2 linked regions of the Mus musculus genome follow. The protein of the gene in region 1 interacts with the protein of each later gene in a pairwise test. Links are inferred from orthologs where the notes say so. Each region holds a gene or a part of one and is shown in the gene's direction. Other genes may lie near its edges.

Evidence for each region.
Region 2: the proteins of Cdk5rap3 (region 1) and Tspyl4 interact in binary tests that used the Homo sapiens proteins (3 or more experiments, as listed by UniProt). The two-hybrid records come from large-scale screens. The link is inferred for Mus musculus from reciprocal best matches to the Homo sapiens genes CDK5RAP3 and TSPYL4.

The regions. Positions count from the first base shown.
Region 1 is NC_000077.6:96,905,128-96,913,820, reverse strand, and holds the end of Cdk5rap3 (CDK5 regulatory subunit-associated protein 3), read left to right. Parts: exon of another isoform or gene 1-24; coding exon 25-156; intron 157-338; coding exon 339-439; intron 440-766; coding exon 767-815; intron 816-1,425; coding exon 1,426-1,604; intron 1,605-1,811; coding exon 1,812-1,948; intron 1,949-2,124; coding exon 2,125-2,269; intron 2,270-2,639; coding exon 2,640-2,741; intron 2,742-3,082; coding exon 3,083-3,164; intron 3,165-3,791; coding exon 3,792-3,880; intron 3,881-4,901; coding exon 4,902-5,107; intron 5,108-5,419; coding exon 5,420-5,591; intron 5,592-5,698; coding exon 5,699-5,764; 3' UTR 5,765-6,396; downstream 6,397-8,693. UniProt on the Homo sapiens protein: Substrate adapter of E3 ligase complexes mediating ufmylation, the covalent attachment of the ubiquitin-like modifier UFM1 to substrate proteins, and which is involved in various processes, such as ribosome recycling and reticulophagy (also called ER-phagy).
Region 2 is NC_000076.6:34,293,277-34,302,879, forward strand, and holds Tspyl4 (testis-specific Y-encoded-like protein 4), read left to right. Parts: upstream 1-4,144; 5' UTR 4,145-4,237; coding exon 4,238-5,458; 3' UTR 5,459-8,044; downstream 8,045-9,603.

The DNA.
Region 1 (8,693 bases):
GGTGACCGGCTGGTTCTCGTGCAGACTGGCTGGTGGACAGAAGACACTGTAACCTAAAATGGCAGAGCCTGGTGCTGACCATCCGGGAAAAAATCAACACTGCCATCCAGGACATGCCAGAGAGCCAGGAGATTGCCCAGCTGCTCTCTGGATCCTGTGAGTGATCTGGAACCCCCCCCCCCCCTTCCTGGAGTCACCAGGGTGGCCCCCAGAGTGAGAATTTTTTTTCTGAATCGCAGATGCTGGTTGGCAGCAGAGTACAGGGGTCAGCCACCTGCAGTAGCCAAGGGGAGAGGAAGGGAGGTGGAATTCTGAGAGTCCTCATTCTTACTTTCTAGACATTCATTACTTCCACTGCCTAAGAATAGTGGACCTTCTTAAAGGCACCGAGGCGTCCACCAAAAATATTTTTGGCCGGTACTCTTCACAACGGATGAAAGTGAGTATGGCCAAGGACTGGTAGTGTGCAGGTGGGGACATCCACGGCCTCTGCAGTCTCACTGGTGAACAAGCCAAGATGCCTGATCTTTGTCCCTATAATATATACCAAAGTGGACCTGTCCACTGGGCTTACACATCCTGACCGTCGGGGATCACTGTCACAGTCTCATCATTATGTGGGTGGTCCAGCCAAGGTTAAAGCTGGAGGAAGTTGAGGAGTTTGTGTCTGGTATGCTAGGAGGCCCGGGGCAGCCTTCTCTGCAGGTTTTGGCTGGGAGGAAGCTGTGGCTGCTCCCCTGGCTGATGTCCTCGCTCTCCTTCTCAGGATTGGCAGGAGATCGTAAGCCTGTATGAGAAGGACAACACCTATTTAGGTAAAGTTGCCCTAAAGGGGCCAAGCATCCATGAGGGGGCGGGCACGATGCTGTGGCTCTGAAACAGCCAGCTGATAGAGAGCTTGGAAGGAAGTGGGGTGCGGCGCAGATGTTGCCTGATTGTAGGTGTGAAAAACGGTTTTGCACGTGCTCCATGAGAGGGAGAATCAGGCAGGAAGTGAACCTTCGTGTGCCCTACTGAACAGTCATCTGGCCTGTCTCTCTCCCTTGGGGAGGTAGTGCGTACTGCCCCCACCCTCGCTGTGTGTGGGGGCCATCCTGTGATGTGTGGGCCATATTGGGAGCCTGAGAGGAAGCAACTAATGGTTGATTATAGTTTGGATCATGACTCTGAATAGTAAATAATTGTAATTATTAATGTATACCAAACACTCTGGGTTTTGTTTTATATGGATCCACAGAGAAAACACAATAGTCCCTGTTCGGCAGCTAAAGATTGAAGCAGAGAGGGTACACAACTTGTCTTGGGTCCCATAGCTAGGAATGGAGAGGCTGAGAAGCCAGCCCCCGTCTCCTCCACCATGCTAGGGCATCTGTGTGCACCTCAGGGCAAGGGTATCCTACAGTCAATTTCCTGGGCCTTCCTCAGTGGAACTCTGTAGCCTCCTGGTTCGGAATGTCAGCTATGAGATCCCCTCGCTGAAGAAGCAGATTGCCAAGTGCCAGCAACTGCAGCAAGAATACAGCCGCAAGGAGGAGGAGGGCCAGGCTGGGGCCGCTGAGATGCGAGAGCAATTCTACCACTCCTGCAAACAGTATGGCATCACGGTGAGCAGCACTTCATTGCAGCCAGACAGTCTTGGGACTGGCTCTCTCCGGGCTCAACTCCACTGCAGCTGGCGGGCTTCTTTCTCAGTTGGATTGTGCCCGGCCTGGGTCTCTCTCACCTTCCTACAGTCTTTGAATGTTTTGTTTGACTCGATAGTTTCCATCTCCCACCATGTGTGACCAAACCCTTCCCTTCTCTCAACCTAGGGAGACAATGTCCGAAGAGAACTTCTGGCCCTGGTGAAGGACCTGCCAAGTCAGCTGGCTGAGATAGGGGCAGGGGCTCAGTCCCTGGGGGAGGCCATTGACCTGTACCAGGCCTGTGTGGAGTTTGTGTGTGACAGGTAAGGAGAACTTCTCCACCCTGAGCAAGGGGTGCCTTCCCGGGTCTTTCTGGCTCCTCTCCACTCGGATTATCCCACATGGCACGCCACCTGTGTTGGTAACTCGTGGACCAGTGATTAGGGTGGAGCCTGTGCCGGCTTCCCAAGAGAGGCTCCGTGACCATGCTCTGTTGAAGCCCCACAGAGCAAGTGCTGCCCATGCTGCGGTATGTGCAGAAGAAGGGAAACTCGACGGTGTATGAGTGGAGGACGGGGACAGAGCCCTCTGTGGTGGAGCGACCACAGCTGGAGGAGCCTCCTGAGCAGGTGCAAGAGGATGAGGTAAGACAGGGCCTCTGAGGAGCCGCGTGGGAGCTGTTTCCCATCCACACGGAGCCCGAGCCCTGACCTGACTTCCCATAGTGAAGAGTAAGGGAAGCTGGGTGAGCGAGGCTCGGGTAGGCGGACCCAAAGGCCCTTTGATTTTCCTGGCTTTCCTGAGACCAGAGTGCAGACAAATGGTAGACACCTCAGCCCACTGGCTCCTGCTGACCTGGGGAGTCCTTCGGTGAAACTGCCCTTTCTCGTGGGAGCCTGGAGGTCCGTGCAGTTGACTGCATGACTCTGCACGGCACTGAGACCTAAGAAAGGCAAACTCCTCTCCCTCTCTCTGCCCACCTTGTTTGCACTGACTTATTTTTTTGCTCTTTAGATCGACTGGGGTGACTTTGGGGTGGAAGCTGTTTCCGACTCTGGCATCGTTGCTGAGACTCCTGGAATAGACTGGGGTATCTCCCTGGAGTCAGAGGCCAAGGTTAGAGCTTTCTTTCTAAGCGGTCCTGCTTCAACCATAGAAAAACATCTGTGCGTGGGACCGTTCCCAGTTGTAAGGCCAGGCGCATCCTGAGGGAAACAGAGTCACAGAAGTGAGGCGTTAGCGTAGGCTCTTTTCCCCTGGGACTTGGGGTGTATGAATGCAAGCCCTTGACCAGTCAGGAGGGAGGGTGGCGTCATCAAAGCCCACGCCCTCCGCCATGCTTGCCACTGCATCAGACTGGACGGTGCAGTCACTGAACCCTTCAGGGCCTCTAGTCTGCTCTGGGTCCCTGCACTGGGGAACCGGTTCCAACTTGCTGAGTCTTTGCTGTTCCTCAGGATGCTGGGGCTGACAAGATAGACTGGGGTGACGATGCTGCTGCTGCTTCAGAGATCACCGTGCTGGAGACAGGAACTGAGGGTAGGTGCCCTGTCCCCTACAGTCCTGGAGAATGGAGGAGCCCAAGTTCAAGGGCATCTGTAGCTACAGTGAATTTGAACAACCTGTGAGACCGAGTCTCAAAAACTAAAAGTACATCTTGTTTAGGATGTGAATGGAGAGGGATGGGATCTAAAAACTCCCTGCTTCCCCCCACCCCCCTTTCTTTTTTGAGACAGTATCACTGTAGGCTGGCCTGAAACTCTCTATGTAGACCAGGCTGGCCTCAAACTCACTCCCAGTGTTGGGATTAAAGGCCCACACCACCAATTTCTGTATGTTTTAGAGACTGAATGTGGGCCAGTCATTTTGGTAGATTGTTTAAGAGACTGGTTGGGCTCCAGGTCTGAAGTGGACTCCTCCCTCTCCCAAATCTTCAGAGAGGCTGTAGCAGTCACTTGTGTCACTAGAGGGCAGTGCAGGATGACACTTTACCTGCCTCGCCACCAGCCGCCTCTGGCTCTGCCTGTGCATTTATCGGCCAGACCCAAGTAGAACCGAGAGGTGTGAACAAGGGGGAAAGGCTGGGTAGGGCTGAGAAGAGTCTGTCCACAGTAACCCACAGGCTTCTCAGACCCATCCTCGTGTCTCTGCCTCTCTTTCTGACAGCTCCGGAGGGTGTAGCTCGGGGCTCAGACGCTCTGACTCTTCTGGAATACCCTGAAACTCGGAATCAGTTCATTGATGAGCTCATGGAGGTACTGCCTTCTGGGAGATGTGGCTTCATTTCTGATGCCTCCTGCTGATGGGAGGGAAGGGCCCGGACTGATTTCAGTACCCTGGAGCAGAGCCTAACAAGTTAGGATTCCCCCCAACACCCTTGTTCTTCTCATAGTTATGAGACATCTCTAAAGTTCCTGGCTCCATCTTGGGCAGTAGCAATGGAGCAGTGACAAAGACGTTCAGAGGCCTAGCCTCGGCGGAGCTTGTATTCTAGCGGGAAGAGCAGATAAGAACCGAGTAGCTACATGGCAAACCTCCTGAAAATTCTGTGCCTATCTGGTTTCCTCTACTTTCCCCTTGAAGAGACATTTTGTAGCCATGAGGGGAGAGGGGGACAAAAGATACCCAGTGTTCATAATACAGCAAGATTTGTTTTTTCCTTTTTAAGGCTTGTACTTATTGATTTGTGAGTGCACATATGCACATGTGTACCGCAGCCCACAGGTAGAGATCAAATTGGGACAACTGTAGGTGTCATTACTGTCGCCTTTCACCATGTGGGTTTTGAGGATCAACCCTAAGTTCTCAGGCTTGGCATCAGGCCCTCTAACCAGCCCAAGATGAACTTACTCATAAAGACTACATCTTAGATGTGGCTGCAGCTCATACTCTTTCTAGACTTTGAATCCAAAGTTTCTCAAGCACTCTCATTGCTCCCATGGAGAGAACATTAGTACCTGCCCTAGGAATCTCAGTGTGTTCCCATAGGCTGGAGAAAAGGATGGAGGGCTGGGCTAGGCTAGCACAGGTCAGCATGGGGTCTAGAGGAACAGGGCGGCCACCTGCTCCCGTGTTGTAGGTGTCCATGCCAGAGGTGCTCGCCGAAAGGAGCCCATGCTGTAGGAGCAGGGTCTCCAGCAGTAGAGTGATGCACAGGAGACAGCCTTTCTCCTCTGGACTCTAGCTCTTCACATCAGGGCGGGGGGGGGGTGGGGGGGGGGGGCTCAGCTTCTGAGTTCCTTTCTTGGTCTGAACGAAGTCCCTTTCCCTCCTCAGCTTGAGATCTTCTTGTCTCAGAGAGCAGTAGAGATGAGCGAGGAGGCCGACATCCTGTCCGTGAGCCAGTTCCAGCTGGCTCCTGCCATCCTCCAGGGCCAGACCAAAGAGAAGATGCTCAGCCTGGTGTCCACGCTGCAGCAGCTGATCGGCCGGCTCACCAGTCTGCGGATGCAGCACCTGTTTATGATTCTGGCCTCGCCAAGGTTGGCTTTCCATGATTCCGTGTTTCTCCATCTCGAATGGAGCTTCCTCCCCTTGTCTTCTTCCTCTTCCATGATTCCTCCTTCCTGTGTACATGGCTTTCTCCTGGGAGTAGCGCAGGGTAGGGTTGATTAATGTCTGTAGACAGAACCTGGTTCCTAAGTTGAGAGGAATCTGGAGTGGCTTATATTCCTTACCAGAAAAAGGAGGGAGGCCATGAGGGGAGGGGAGGCCAAGGAGGGAATTAGCTTCCTGAGCCTCACCGGCCCAGCAGTTAAGTGCAGACAGCCTCCCAGGCTTCTCCATCTGCACAGGTATGTGGACCGAGTGACAGAGTTCCTCCAGCAGAAGCTGAAGCAGTCGCAGCTGTTGGCTTTGAAGAAGGAGCTGATGGTGGAGAAGCAGCAGGAGGCGCTTCAGGAGCAGGCAGCTCTGGAGCCCAAGCTGGACCTGCTGCTGGAGAAGACCAGAGAGCTGCAGAAACTGGTGAGCCGTGCCGGGAGCCTGCCCCGGGGGAGAACCCCTCCGCTTCCACAGACCGAGAAACCTGCCGGCCTGTCTGCTCCCTGCCCACTCCGCTCTCTTTCTCTCAGATTGAAGCCGACATCTCCAAGAGATACAGTGGCCGTCCTGTGAACCTGATGGGGACCTCTCTGTGACGCGCTCCCTCTGTGTCCTCCACCCTCCTTCCCAGCTACCAGGAGGAGGTGGGACAGCCCAGGCTGATGCTACTGGGCCTCACCAGCAAGAAGTCAGGCGGACTTGGAGACAGAGCCATGAGGAAGGGTCACACCATGATCTCTGCAAGCAGTTGTCTTGAGTGGCTCTGGCCTGTCAGCCTTAAGGCACACTTGCTGCTTCTAGTTGTCAAGTGAGGCTTAATAAAAGGAAGTGACTCTCCTTCGTGGCTGGCAGTCACTTGCACCACCACGCTGAGCCTGCTTGAAGTTGAAGCTGTGCACATGTTTTCTTAATTCTTGATCCAAGGAGGCCTTGAGCAATTGTAGAGCCCCAGGTTAGAGGCTTTTCTTCCTGGCTTTTGGTGGTACCTGACCCCATAAGCATTTATAAATGGTTCAGCATGTGGTTTGGGGCTGGCCAGTACAGCTTTGCCCCCTTCTGTCACCAGGCTCATGCTGTCCTGCCCCAGTCGGCAGCCCAGGGGGAGCAGTCAGCCTGCCCTGTGAGACCCTGCAGAGGTGTATTTTTCCTCTTAATCACTGCTTACTGGCTAGTCAGGGGGAAATGTGGTTTGGGGAGGCAGGGTCTGATAAACAAGGTGGAGACAAGAGTTGTCACCTTTACTGGCTGCCTGTCCACTTCCTGCCCGTAACTGCCTGCTCTGCGATTGGGTGGGAGCCACCCCAGGATAACACCCCTCTCCCGTGGGACCCACCCCAGGATAGCACCCCTCTCCCAAGCCACCTACCCATCCCTGTTTCCCAGGAAGGATAGGGGCTGGGGGTGGCCAGCAATTCGATTTTAATTTCATAGCAGAGCAGTTGATTCATGGCTCTTTGTCGCTGGCGTTGACTCCCGTAATGACTTTCCATCACAATGAAAAGTGGAGTGACACCACTCATTATTCCTGCTGCTTGTTATCTCAGTCTGGGGAGGGCCACCCCTCCCCGCTGCCTCTCAGCCGTCCAGGACAGTGAGTGATGGCCCCTATTAATCACCGACCCCGCGGACTCCGGCGGACACACGCTATCCAAAGGAGAGAGAGATAAGGCCACATGAACTGCTCAGAGACACTCCTATCGATTAATGTCAGCCCACCGCTTCCCCCCCAACCCCTGCCTGGTCACCTCCTTTTGGAGGAATCAAGCTGAAGTTAGAAGCCTAAGAGCTGAGAGAAAAGATACTGGTGTCAGAAGACCGTCCTAAAGATAGAAGGGCCTAGGGTGGTGTGGCTGGGCTGTATCCTGTCTGCAGCTGCTCCGAGGCCTGGACAGCTGTCTGCTCCTCTTGGTTCCCTTCCTGAAGTCTGAGCATGTCCCAGCCACCTCCCTCCCAAGTGGTCATCTTCTCCAAGGGCTGCCTGGCTAGCCTCCTGCATCAGCTATCAGCTCGCTGAGGCATGCTATCCTTGTCCAGCCTAGTCACCAGCTGTTACAGACACCACCGCGTACAAGACCCAGGCAGTAGGGAGAAGCCCAGGGAATCATGTGATTGCACCAGGCTGGATTTGGCTTGGAGGCTCCTGTTCCTGCCAGACATGAACACCTGACCTCCCACAAGGTTCCAGTGCCCCAGGAAGGGAAGCAGTATAGGTCAAAGGGACTTTGAGCAGATGAGAACACTGTGGCAAGCAGAGGGGTTTGGGTAAGTGTTCTCAGAGGGACCGGGCCTGTTTTATAAGCTGTCCCTGAGGCCCAGGCTGAGGTAGATGGTTTCCTTCAGGCCCTTAACTGTACTGGGGTGGTTCTTCAAAACTCTGCTTGCTTTGCCTTTGGCTCCAACACCTGTGGGCCACCCCTCTGGTTGTACCAGAGACACTGAAGCCCACCTGGTGTGGGCTATGGGAACAGTTCTGATTGATTTGGGGGTCAGCTTCTGAGCCCCTTTAACTTCATTCTGGAACATTTTTGGTCCACGACCCTTTCCCTCAGTGCCACAGCGTTGACCTAAGGGTTAATGAGCTGAGCAGACAGCACCCTCAGTGTAGCACCACGGCACCCCCAAGGCCTCTTCTTCCTGGCCTGAGAAACCAGGGCTCCTTGCAGAACTGAAGACCCAGTTCCCAGCAGTCAGCTGTCAGAGTTCTAAAAGCCATTCAGGGAAAGAGAGGCCACAGGCCAAGCTCCATCCTTAGCAGTCTTCGTCTTAGTTTGATGTGAGTCCGTAGCCAAGGGCATAGCAGGGATTGATGTTCACTTCTCTCCTGCTGCCTCTGCCCAACCCCATCTCCCTGATTCCTGTAAGGAAACCGGGACTCCCTTTCCCAAAACCCATTGTTTGGATACCTGCTGGCTGACTGAGCATGGGCTAAGTGGAATGCTAAAGACTGTCCATCAGCCCAGCCTGTGCACCCCTCTCCCCTGGGCCCACTGAGGGCTCATCAGGGGCGTGTGGGTCCTGAATAAGTAGAACCCACTTGTTTTCTCTGCCAGGGCAGGGCTGCAACAATCTGCATGATTCACACCAAACACAAGCACACTCCTCCACAGTAGCGGCCTAGAGTCCAGGACAAAAGAAGAGCACACCCAGCTTGTGGGAGAGAGCCTGGGTCTGCGGCCCTGACCACTACATGCACGCAGCCGACACCCCCAGATGTTGCTGTGACTCTGCCTTTTCATACGCTCCTCTCTGTCTTGTTGCTAATGTGTATTTCATCTTTTGACCACCACTTCTATATTCTCTTCCCCACTCTAGCACAAGAATATTTAATCTAATAATGGGAAACACTGGGAGACAGCGCTTGTGATATAGCCTTTACGTATGTGCAGAAGACCCAGGGTTCTATCTAAGTTCCAAAACTCCCATGAATTGAATATGCAGCACATGCCAATGATACTTGGGTGGCACTTAGGAGGTGGAGACAGAAGGATTGGAAGTTCAAGGTAATCGTTGGCATCCCTGGCTATA
Region 2 (9,603 bases), on another chromosome or scaffold:
TGTAACTACACTGTAGCTGTCTTCAGACACTGCAGAAGAGGGTGTCAGATCTCATTACAGATGGTTGTGAGCCACCATGTGGGTGCTGGGATTTGAACTCAGGACCTTTGGAAGAGCAGTCAGTGCTCTTAACTGCTGAGCCATCTCTCCAGCCCGCTGATACAGATTTTAAATATTATCTTAGAGGCTGCTTCCTCTCTCCTAGGGACCAGGAATAGAAATACTTTATGTATACATTTTAAACAAACAAGATGGGCCCTGGTGGTACACCTTTAATCCCAGCATGCAGAAGGCAGAATTCAAGGACAGCATGGTCTACAGAGTGAGTTCCAGGATAGCCAGGGCTCCATAGAGAAACCCTGTCTGGAAAAACAAAACAAAACAAAAACACAAAACACATAAACAAACCCAACCAACCAAACAAAAACCAACAAAACAAAACCAATAAAACAGAAAACCAAAATCAGTGTATGTATGTACTATTTCTTAGTTGTGAGACTAATTATGGTTATTACAGTTAGTGTGTGTGGGCATTTATAGGAGCCCAAGGGATGGTTGTCATTGGGACAATTAACTTCTATAAAATAATTGTCCAGTGCTAAGCCTTTACAGTGATGAAACTTTTTAGACACAGCACTTACCACTCTTTCACAGTGAAGACAATATATGCCTCATTGAGAAGGTAATTTTCTGTTTTGTCTGTCCTAACACCATCCATGGTGCAACTGGTGAGACACACCACCAGTTTATACCATGAAAGCTATTGAGCCTACGTGCAAAACTTTCTCACTCTGACTCTCAGAATTTTAATTTTATAGTTGACTGATTTTTAGGTTTTAAAGGTTTTTTTTTGTTTTTTTTGTTTTTGTTTGTTTGTTTGTTTGTTTGTTTTTTAGTTGGCTGGCCATGGTGAGCACTCTTGGAAGGCAGATCAAGAAGATCATGTTTATATTCAGCTACACAGCAAGTTTAAGACCAATCTAAAGGAAATGACACAGTGCCTGTTTCAAAGGAAAAATGTATGTGACTTATCATGTATTTCCCATGGACATGTATGAAAGCCATAAGTAAAATAAAAGTAGTTTCATTATTACAATTAATTCCCAATTAGAATAACCTTAATCGTAGTTAGAATGATAATTCTAAGTGTTTATGTTTCCTCAAACAGTATTGTTCTCTCTTTGTATCTTGAATAATTTTTGAAATATCTCCTTTCTTCCTTCCTTCCTTCCTTCCTTCCTTCCTTCCTTCCTTCCTTCCTTTTTTATATTTGAGATAGGGCCTTACTGTGTTGCTCTGATGGGTTTAGAAATCGCTATGTAGACTGGGCTGGTTTCAAACCTGTAGCAATCCTGCCTCCACCTCTGCCTCTCAAGTTCAGGTATGCATGACTATCCGATAATAAAAAATGTTTTTTTTTAAAGCGTCTAAACATTGTCATTCTTAAAAGATGTCCGAATGTTTAATGAAAGTATTGTTCTAAAATATCATGTTTCCCAAATTACTACACTCCTGCAAGGTTGATTCTGGAGCTCTCTTGCTCTAGCCAGATGCCAGCAGAAAGCATCCAGAGGACACATAATAACCACTTTCCTCTCTCACATAGTTTTTAAGAGTTTGGTGATTGAAATGTCAAGAGGCTGCATCTGTCTAATTATGATACTGAGACTAATAACCAAATTCACAATATGCCCACACAGTGACAACTACATTGTGAGTGCTAGTCTTATGACAACAGTTGCAAGGTTTCATTGATTGTGTCATAAACAGTCATTTTAGAGATGCTAAAATAAAACTAAATGTGCCTTAGAATTGAGGAATATGGACTATGTAAATTGTTGAAATCTAATATATACACAGAATTTTACTGTGACATTGCTCTTCGTTTTAGTAAACCCCACTAATGTCTCTAGTATCATACATGTGATTCTGGTGGTAACAATAACTCCATACATTGCTGATTCCATATGTATAACCATCTAACTACCGATCATGCCACAGCATCTATATTTTGAAAGAGATTTAAAATTATTCTTTCATTTATCTTTAAACTACTACAATGATCTTACATTGATGAAAAATTACACTTAAAAAAAAAGACATGGGAATGGAGGTGTACACCTTTATCTAGTATTTTGGAGACAGAGGCAGGTAGATCTGAGCTTAAGGTCAGCTTGGTCGCCATCGTGAGTTCCAGGACAGCCAGAGCTACAAAGAGAGTCACAGCCTCCCTTCCCCTCTCCCCCATCTCCTGTCTCCCCTCTCTCTACCCCACCTCTACAATATAATATACTGAATTTCAAGAAAGAAAAATAGTCATAATATAAATTATTATATAATAAAATAAATGTAATGTAGACAGAGGTGTTTCCAGCAGTAGAAAACAAATCTTTAAACACTGATATATACAAGAGAAAGAAGTCCACATGTGATTTTCTCATTTCTTATGAAGTGATGTAATAGCAAGCTGTTTTCTTTCTCCTGCATTGCCCAGTATTTTGGTTCAGCATTTGATGATTCTCTGCATCTTGGTTTAGGCTAAATTCAAGAGTGTTTGCTACTCTTTCAACTGTGTGAAGAGTCATTAGGTAAAGAAGTGGTGTAATGTTAAAGAATAACTCAGAAGTCACAGAGTGTATTATAGCAGTGTTTATGTGTTTACATAGGAAGTTAGCGATACATTTATTTCACCTCAGTAAGGCAAAAAGAATATTTGTTAAGAGAAAAAGGAAAGGGGGACAGAAAAAGAATTGGTATTTGTGTGTACATTTTAATTTTATTTAGATAATCAATTGATTTTCCTTTTTTTCTTTCCTTTTTTGGGAGATAGGGCTAGGAAGAGGCAGGCCAGCCTGGACAACTGTCTTTGAGTGAGAACACTCACCTTTGGCATAGAAAGAAAGAAAAAAATCAAGCTGCATGATATGCCATGTGTTGTTCTCACCACCTCAGAGTCTTAGGCGAACCAGGAGCCATTATTTCCCTCATTAGAGTTCTTAGGGTAATGTTTTTTGTTTTTGTTTTTTTTCTTTAAACCCCTATTCAAAGACTCTTACTGTAGTGTAACCATATTCTGGGAGGAATCAATTTCCCAGGGCAAAGAACTCTAAAGCTTTGTTCTAATAGAAATTCAAACATTAAATATGCAAAATTTAAGTTTCTGTTTTTTTCTATCCCTTAAGGATTAACATCCGAATTCTCAGACTTTAGCAAACTGAGAGACCGTGGTGATTAAATACATAAATAGCTTTTATTTATTTAAATAAATGATTGAGTAAATAAATAAATACATTTTCTAAATTGACTTGAATGAATGACCCTTCTTTTTTAAAGTAGATTATTTTAAAGACACAGTTGCTTAAGTGTGTGAAAAACCCTGATTGATTCTACCTTCACAAAGGCAAATTTGGGCAAATGTTAGTTGGCTCCATACCCACAGGCATGAAGCAGAACCTAAGATCATAAACCAAGGCAAAGGAGGATTAATGTGTATCGTTTTAGAAATTGAATCCTCTGAGGTTACATTTCCTTCACTAATTCTCAGGGGCTAACTGTGTATATGGCATGCGTTGTGGCCACCTGTAAATAAGGCGCGGTTTACTATTTATTTAAAAGTGAAGAAATATCCAATTGCTTTGTAAATGTCGGCCAATGTATACAAACATCAAAATCTCTGCAGAAATCGAAATTAACCTTAGGAATGTCTTGTTTGCTTGAAAGTAAAAACAACGACGACACTTTTTGCCCCCTAAATCTGATTCTGCGCAGCTCCTCAGTAGCCGCTATGAATCGAATCTGTGTCCGAAATAAGGAGGGCCTGTGAGCTGGTGAATTCGCTTCTCTATTCCTGGGAAGCATGAATAAAATCTGACTTTATTAGACAATAGGTTCTATTTTAAAATTTATTTTGAGACATGGTTTAGATACTGTCGAAATTAATTAGAGACTTACGAATAGACGTAAAATATAATTCGACATCCATTTATGTACTCAATTTCCCAGATGAGATTAAATTTACAGCATCATTTAAAAAGACAAAAAGAACACACTTGATCGACAAAATTACCTGGATTGCCAGTTCTCGCGCTACGGTTAGTTGCAGCTGGTATCCTGACGTCACAGGTTGCCATGGTAGCACCAGCCCAGAAGGAAAAGGGGTGGAGCTAAGCACTCACTGCGGTTTTGCGCTGCGTCTGCAGAGGACAAGGAAAGCTCTGCAGGGCTGTCAGCTGCCAAAATGAACGGCGTGGAAGGGAACAACGAGCTATCTCTCGCTAACACCACGACCCCCTCCCATGCCTCCGAAGATCTGGATCTGAAGCAGGACCAGGGGCTCCAAGAGGAAACCGACACAGTGCGGGAGATGGAGGCTGCAGGTGAGGCCGGTGCGGATGGAGGCGCGTCTCCGGATTCCGAGCACTGCGGCCCCGAGCTCTGCTTCCGAGTGGCTGAGAATAGTTGTGCTGCGGCAGCGAGAGGTCTGGAGGATGCTCCGTCTCCATCAAAGGGCGGGGACGCACCCTCAGCCCCTGTGGCAGCCGACGACAGCAGTAAAAATGGCTGTCAGCTTGAAGGGCCTCACAGCCCTGCTAAACCGAAAGCCCTGGAAGCCTGTGGTGCGGTGGGCCTGGGGTCTCAGCAGATGCCGGGGCCGAAGAAGACCAAGGAAATGACGACTACCAAGTGCGCCATCTCTGTGGCCACCGGCAAGGAGGGAGAAGCAGGAGCGGCAATGCAGGAAAAGAAGGGGTTACAGAAGGAAAAAAAGGTAGCTGGAGGAGGGAAAGAGGAGACTCGACCCAGAGCTCCGAAGATCAATTGCATGGACTCGCTGGAGGCCATCGATCAAGAGCTGTCAAATGTAAATGCGCAGGCTGACAGGGCCTTCCTCCAGCTGGAACGCAAATTTGGGCGGATGAGAAGGCTCCACATGCAGCGCAGAAGTTTCATCATCCAAAACATCCCAGGTTTCTGGGTCACCGCTTTTCGGAACCACCCCCAGCTGTCACCAATGATTAGTGGCCAAGATGAAGACATGATGAGGTACATGATCAATTTAGAGGTGGAGGAGCTTAAGCAGCCAAGAGTAGGGTGCAAATTTAAGTTCATCTTTCAAAGCAACCCCTACTTTCGAAATGAGGGGCTGGTCAAAGAATATGAGCGCAGATCCTCAGGTCGAGTGGTGTCACTCTCTACGCCAATCCGCTGGCACCGGGGTCAGGAACCCCAGGCCCACATCCACAGGAATAGGGAGGGGAACACGATTCCCAGTTTCTTCAACTGGTTCTCAGACCACAGCCTCCTAGAATTCGACAGAATAGCTGAAATTATCAAAGGGGAGCTGTGGTCCAATCCCCTACAATACTATCTGATGGGCGATGGGCCACGCCGTGGAGTTCGAGTCCCACCAAGGCAGCCAGTGGAGAGTCCCAGGTCCTTCAGGTTCCAGTCTGGCTAAGCTCTGCCCTCGTGAGAAGCTCTTGCAGAGGAGTCCTTACCACCTCCTCAGCTTGGCCAGCAGCATGCAGCCTTCTGTCTGCTTTCTCTTCCTGTTGGATTGTGTTCATTGGTTCTTCTAAGTCTCCAGTAGTTTCAAGATTGTGGCTTTCAAGTCTTTGCTCTTCTTTCTCTGGGCCATCACGATGTTCTGCATATATATATATAATGGTGTTCCAAGTGCATGGCCTTCAAACTGCTTCTATGCCAAGTCACGTGCTGTAGTCTGTACTTCGTTCTTTGCATGGCTTGGTCCCTGTCTGTGACATGATCTTTTTTTCATTTTTTTTTTTAAGTGGTTCTCTGCCACAAGAAAGCTTGACACATTCTTACCAAGAACTAGCCAGGCTTCATACTTTCTGCTGTGTTCCCGATATCTATGTACTGTGAAGAACCGTGAGTTTCACCACTGCAAGATGGAACTGTACCCCAACCCAGCCATTAGCCCAACAGGACATTCCAGGCTATTGCCAACTGATCCTAGCTGTCTTCCTGGGCCTTTGCCTTTTACCCTGCTTGTTATCTCTACAACAAGCAGGTGGCTGGTGGGTATGAGTGAAGTAACAGGCGAGGAATGTTTTCTGTCACCTCATTGGTCTTGTACCGTTGGTTGCTGTGCATTGTGATCAGCTACTGGTGAGTATGGAAGCTTGTGCAATTGCCCACTAGTTCTCTCCTGGTTGAGCTTTGCACAGGCCCAAGTGGTTCCTCAGGAACTATCTAAGGACCTAAGTTCCTAGGCAGCACACAGATACCCCCTGCTGTACCAGTTCCCATGGCTCAATTAGCTGCTGGGCAGGATCTGTAGTCTCACGTGGCAGTGCCCAAAGCAAAGCTGAAGTGGCTCCCTTCCAGTGGTTAGTTCTGAGCCCTAACCAACAAATTATTCCTTATCCAGGCACCTTTGATAGGTAACTACTCCTCTTCCTGTGTTCACACCCACTCTGGTTAAGTCAAAGTTGCCTAGGTTTGGGTAGTTAGAAATTGTTTGTGGCCCACAGGCCTTGCTATACCTTTTTCTCTTTGGCTCTTCTCTTTTCACCTCCCCCCAACCCCTTTTCTTTTTAAGGCAGTTACAGCCCAGAGACAGAAAAAACAAAAGACAGCAGGCTTTTTATTTGCTCTCCCCTTGGTTGTATGCAGGCTGGGAAAGGTACTGTAAAGTAGACTCCAAATCTCTCACTGCCCTGACTATTCCACCCTTCTCATAGCAAGGGAGACCACCTCCACTCTTCCCTCCATTCTACTAGGTGCTGTGTCTTTAAGCTCTAGTTTGGGAATCTGAGAGAAGAGAAAGAAGAGTCTCAATGACAGACCCTGTGCCTGCCCTGAGCAGTCTGTGAATGAATGCACCTAGCCCACGTTTCTAAAGGACAGCAGTTCTTTTGTGGGCCTCAGCCTGTAGAAATGACCAGAGAGCAACAATGTGCGACATCTTTGTTGTTTGCCTGATCTTGGCCCTTACCTGTCAGGTTTTGAATGTCCTTCCATGTTTCCATCCTAACAAAGAAGGAAGCAGGCTGTAGAGTGCATTGTGGGAGGGAGACCCCAAGCCTCTTCTCAGGGATGTGGGGATGTGAGGGGTCTGGATTTGCAGGACATGCTCCATTGAATTTGCAACAGCGCTGTTGTGGCTTCTGCCGCTGCAGCCCTCAGGCATTCCCTTTCTGATTGAAAGACCTTGTTGAAAGCTTCTCCAAAGCTCGTAGGTCTGGATACCTTCGTTGGAGGCTGGGAATTTTAAGAGGAGGACTAGAGGGAAGAGCCTGTTGCAGAGTGAGTTTTTCTAGGTCTGCTGAGATGATTGACACATGGAGGGAGCAGGGTTGGGGGCAGGGGTCCCTGAAGCACATTCCAGTGCAAGGAGGTGGGGGAAGGGATCAAGTGGGTTGGGATTTAAAAAGAGACGCTTGGAGGATATTCCTTAGTTTGTTCTAATTTTCAACTCCACCAGTAGATGTTAGTAAACAGATGTAAGTCTGAGTGAGCCTTGCCTGGGGAGATCAATGGTGTGCACTCCTCATTCCACTGCGCTCGATCCTAGTCCCCCCTGTCAGCTCACTGGCAGGATTGATGTTTACAAGCCTGCCTTTTACTGATCATTGAGAACAAGTGCAAACATTTGAATTTCTGTCAGTTGCAGTATGAAGACTCCTGGGAACACTCACTACTAGATTAACTTGTTCTGGTGTCTCTTCATGTATAGCTGTATTCTTAGAAGTTCAATCCGCACAATGATCTCTGAAGTCTGAAGACTTTTTGAAAACTGTTGCTATGTCTTGTAAAAGTGGTTTCCAAAAGACAAATGTAACTGTCCTACTGATATTTCTTGCTGTAGTAAGTAAGTAACACTTGGCATTATCTTCTTAACCCGTGTAAGGACTAGAACTGCTATCAACTAAACGAGGATATTAGTCCTTTGTCTTCTCCTGTGTGCTCAAAGGAAAGATAATGTTACTGTTATATTTCTCGTCTGCACCAAAAATAAATAAATAAATAATAAATAAATAAATAAACAAACAAATAAATAAATGTGAATAAAAAGCTCTATGCTGTCTGGGTGAATGTACAGTTGGGCAATGATGAAGCATTTCACTTTTATTCACAGAACAACATGAACTGAGCAGACCAAAAATGATTCTTTTTTCCTTTTTAGCCAGCAGATGAGAGACTATCTGAACTGGTTTTGAGGCTGCACAGAGAGTAACTAGGGGAGTTGGGTGTGGTGGTACAACCTGTGACTCCAGCTCTTGGGGGCCGAGGGAGGAGGAGCTGGAGTTCAAAGCCAGCCTGGGCTCTAAAGCAATGCACAGGCAGCTGAGCTATGCACAAGGTATACAATAAATATGTACATACATAGCATAAATCTTATATAAGGACTGTATCAAAGGTAGGAAGGAAATTAGGATCTGAAATGGAGGAAGAAAAACAAATGCAAGGGAATGGAGCAGGCCCAGGGCTGCAGGAACGAACCAGCTGTTTTCACAAGTGACATCAGGGTCTAATTTCCAAAGATAAAGCAGAACGACGCCATGTTAACCTGCGGCAAGTGAGTGGCGCTGTCTCCTCAGAAGGACAATACCTTTGTCAGATTAAAGCTGAAAATAAAGGGAATGGTGGCACATTCCGACTACCTCTAGGACAGGAAAAAGGCAGAGACCACCAGAGATGGTCCACTTGCAAAAGAAAGCAGGGTTTCTCTCACATCTCTGGGACCAGAAGTAATTATAGTCAGCACGACCTGCCTCAGACTACCCAGTTACTTAACAGAAATTTTTGATTTAACAGAAAATTTGGTACATTTGCTTACTTGACTAAAAATATTTGGTTCTTCATTTTCCTGAACAATATAGCATCCATACCTTAATACCGGTAATGTATTAAGGTATGGATGAGAAAACTCTTTCTTGAAACTCAAGTTGTGCAATATTTTAGGTGTTTAGATATTATTTCAGTCACAGACTTGTATTTTGAGTATTCCTGTTAACTAGTTTGTCTTTCAAGACAGGGTGTCACCAGGTGTGTAGCCCAGGCAGATCTCCAACTCTTGATCCTCCTGCTTCTAGCTCCCTAAGTGCCAGTATTACAGGTATGTACATCTGACTACTCCTTTCAAAGCACCACACTGTTGCAGGACATAAAGCAGCACTCACAGATTCCACGATGTTTGTTTCGGAAGGCTATTTTAAGCCCCTTAAGAAAAAGACTTACACCAGTGGCGACACTGTTAGCATAACTGGAAACGTTGATTCACAGGTATTTTTCCACTGGCAACAAACAGTATAAACAGTGATAAACATTGGTACAGGTCCTTAGGATATGACCCCCTCCACCCCCAACTAGTGCTGGTGTCATTAAGTTCTATGCTTTTTTAGTGCATGTAGCGATGAAAGAAGGAACACGAGCTAGAAAGAAAGCTCAGTAGTTCGAAGCACTCGTTGCACTTGCAGAGGACTCCGGTTTGCTTCCTGGCAGCCATTTCTAGTGGCTCACAAGCATTTATAATCCAGCTTCACAGGCCGTCTTCTGGCCGACATGGGCAGTGACATGCACGCGTACAAACAGACAAGCAGGCACACACATAAATAAAAATGATATAGTACAAAG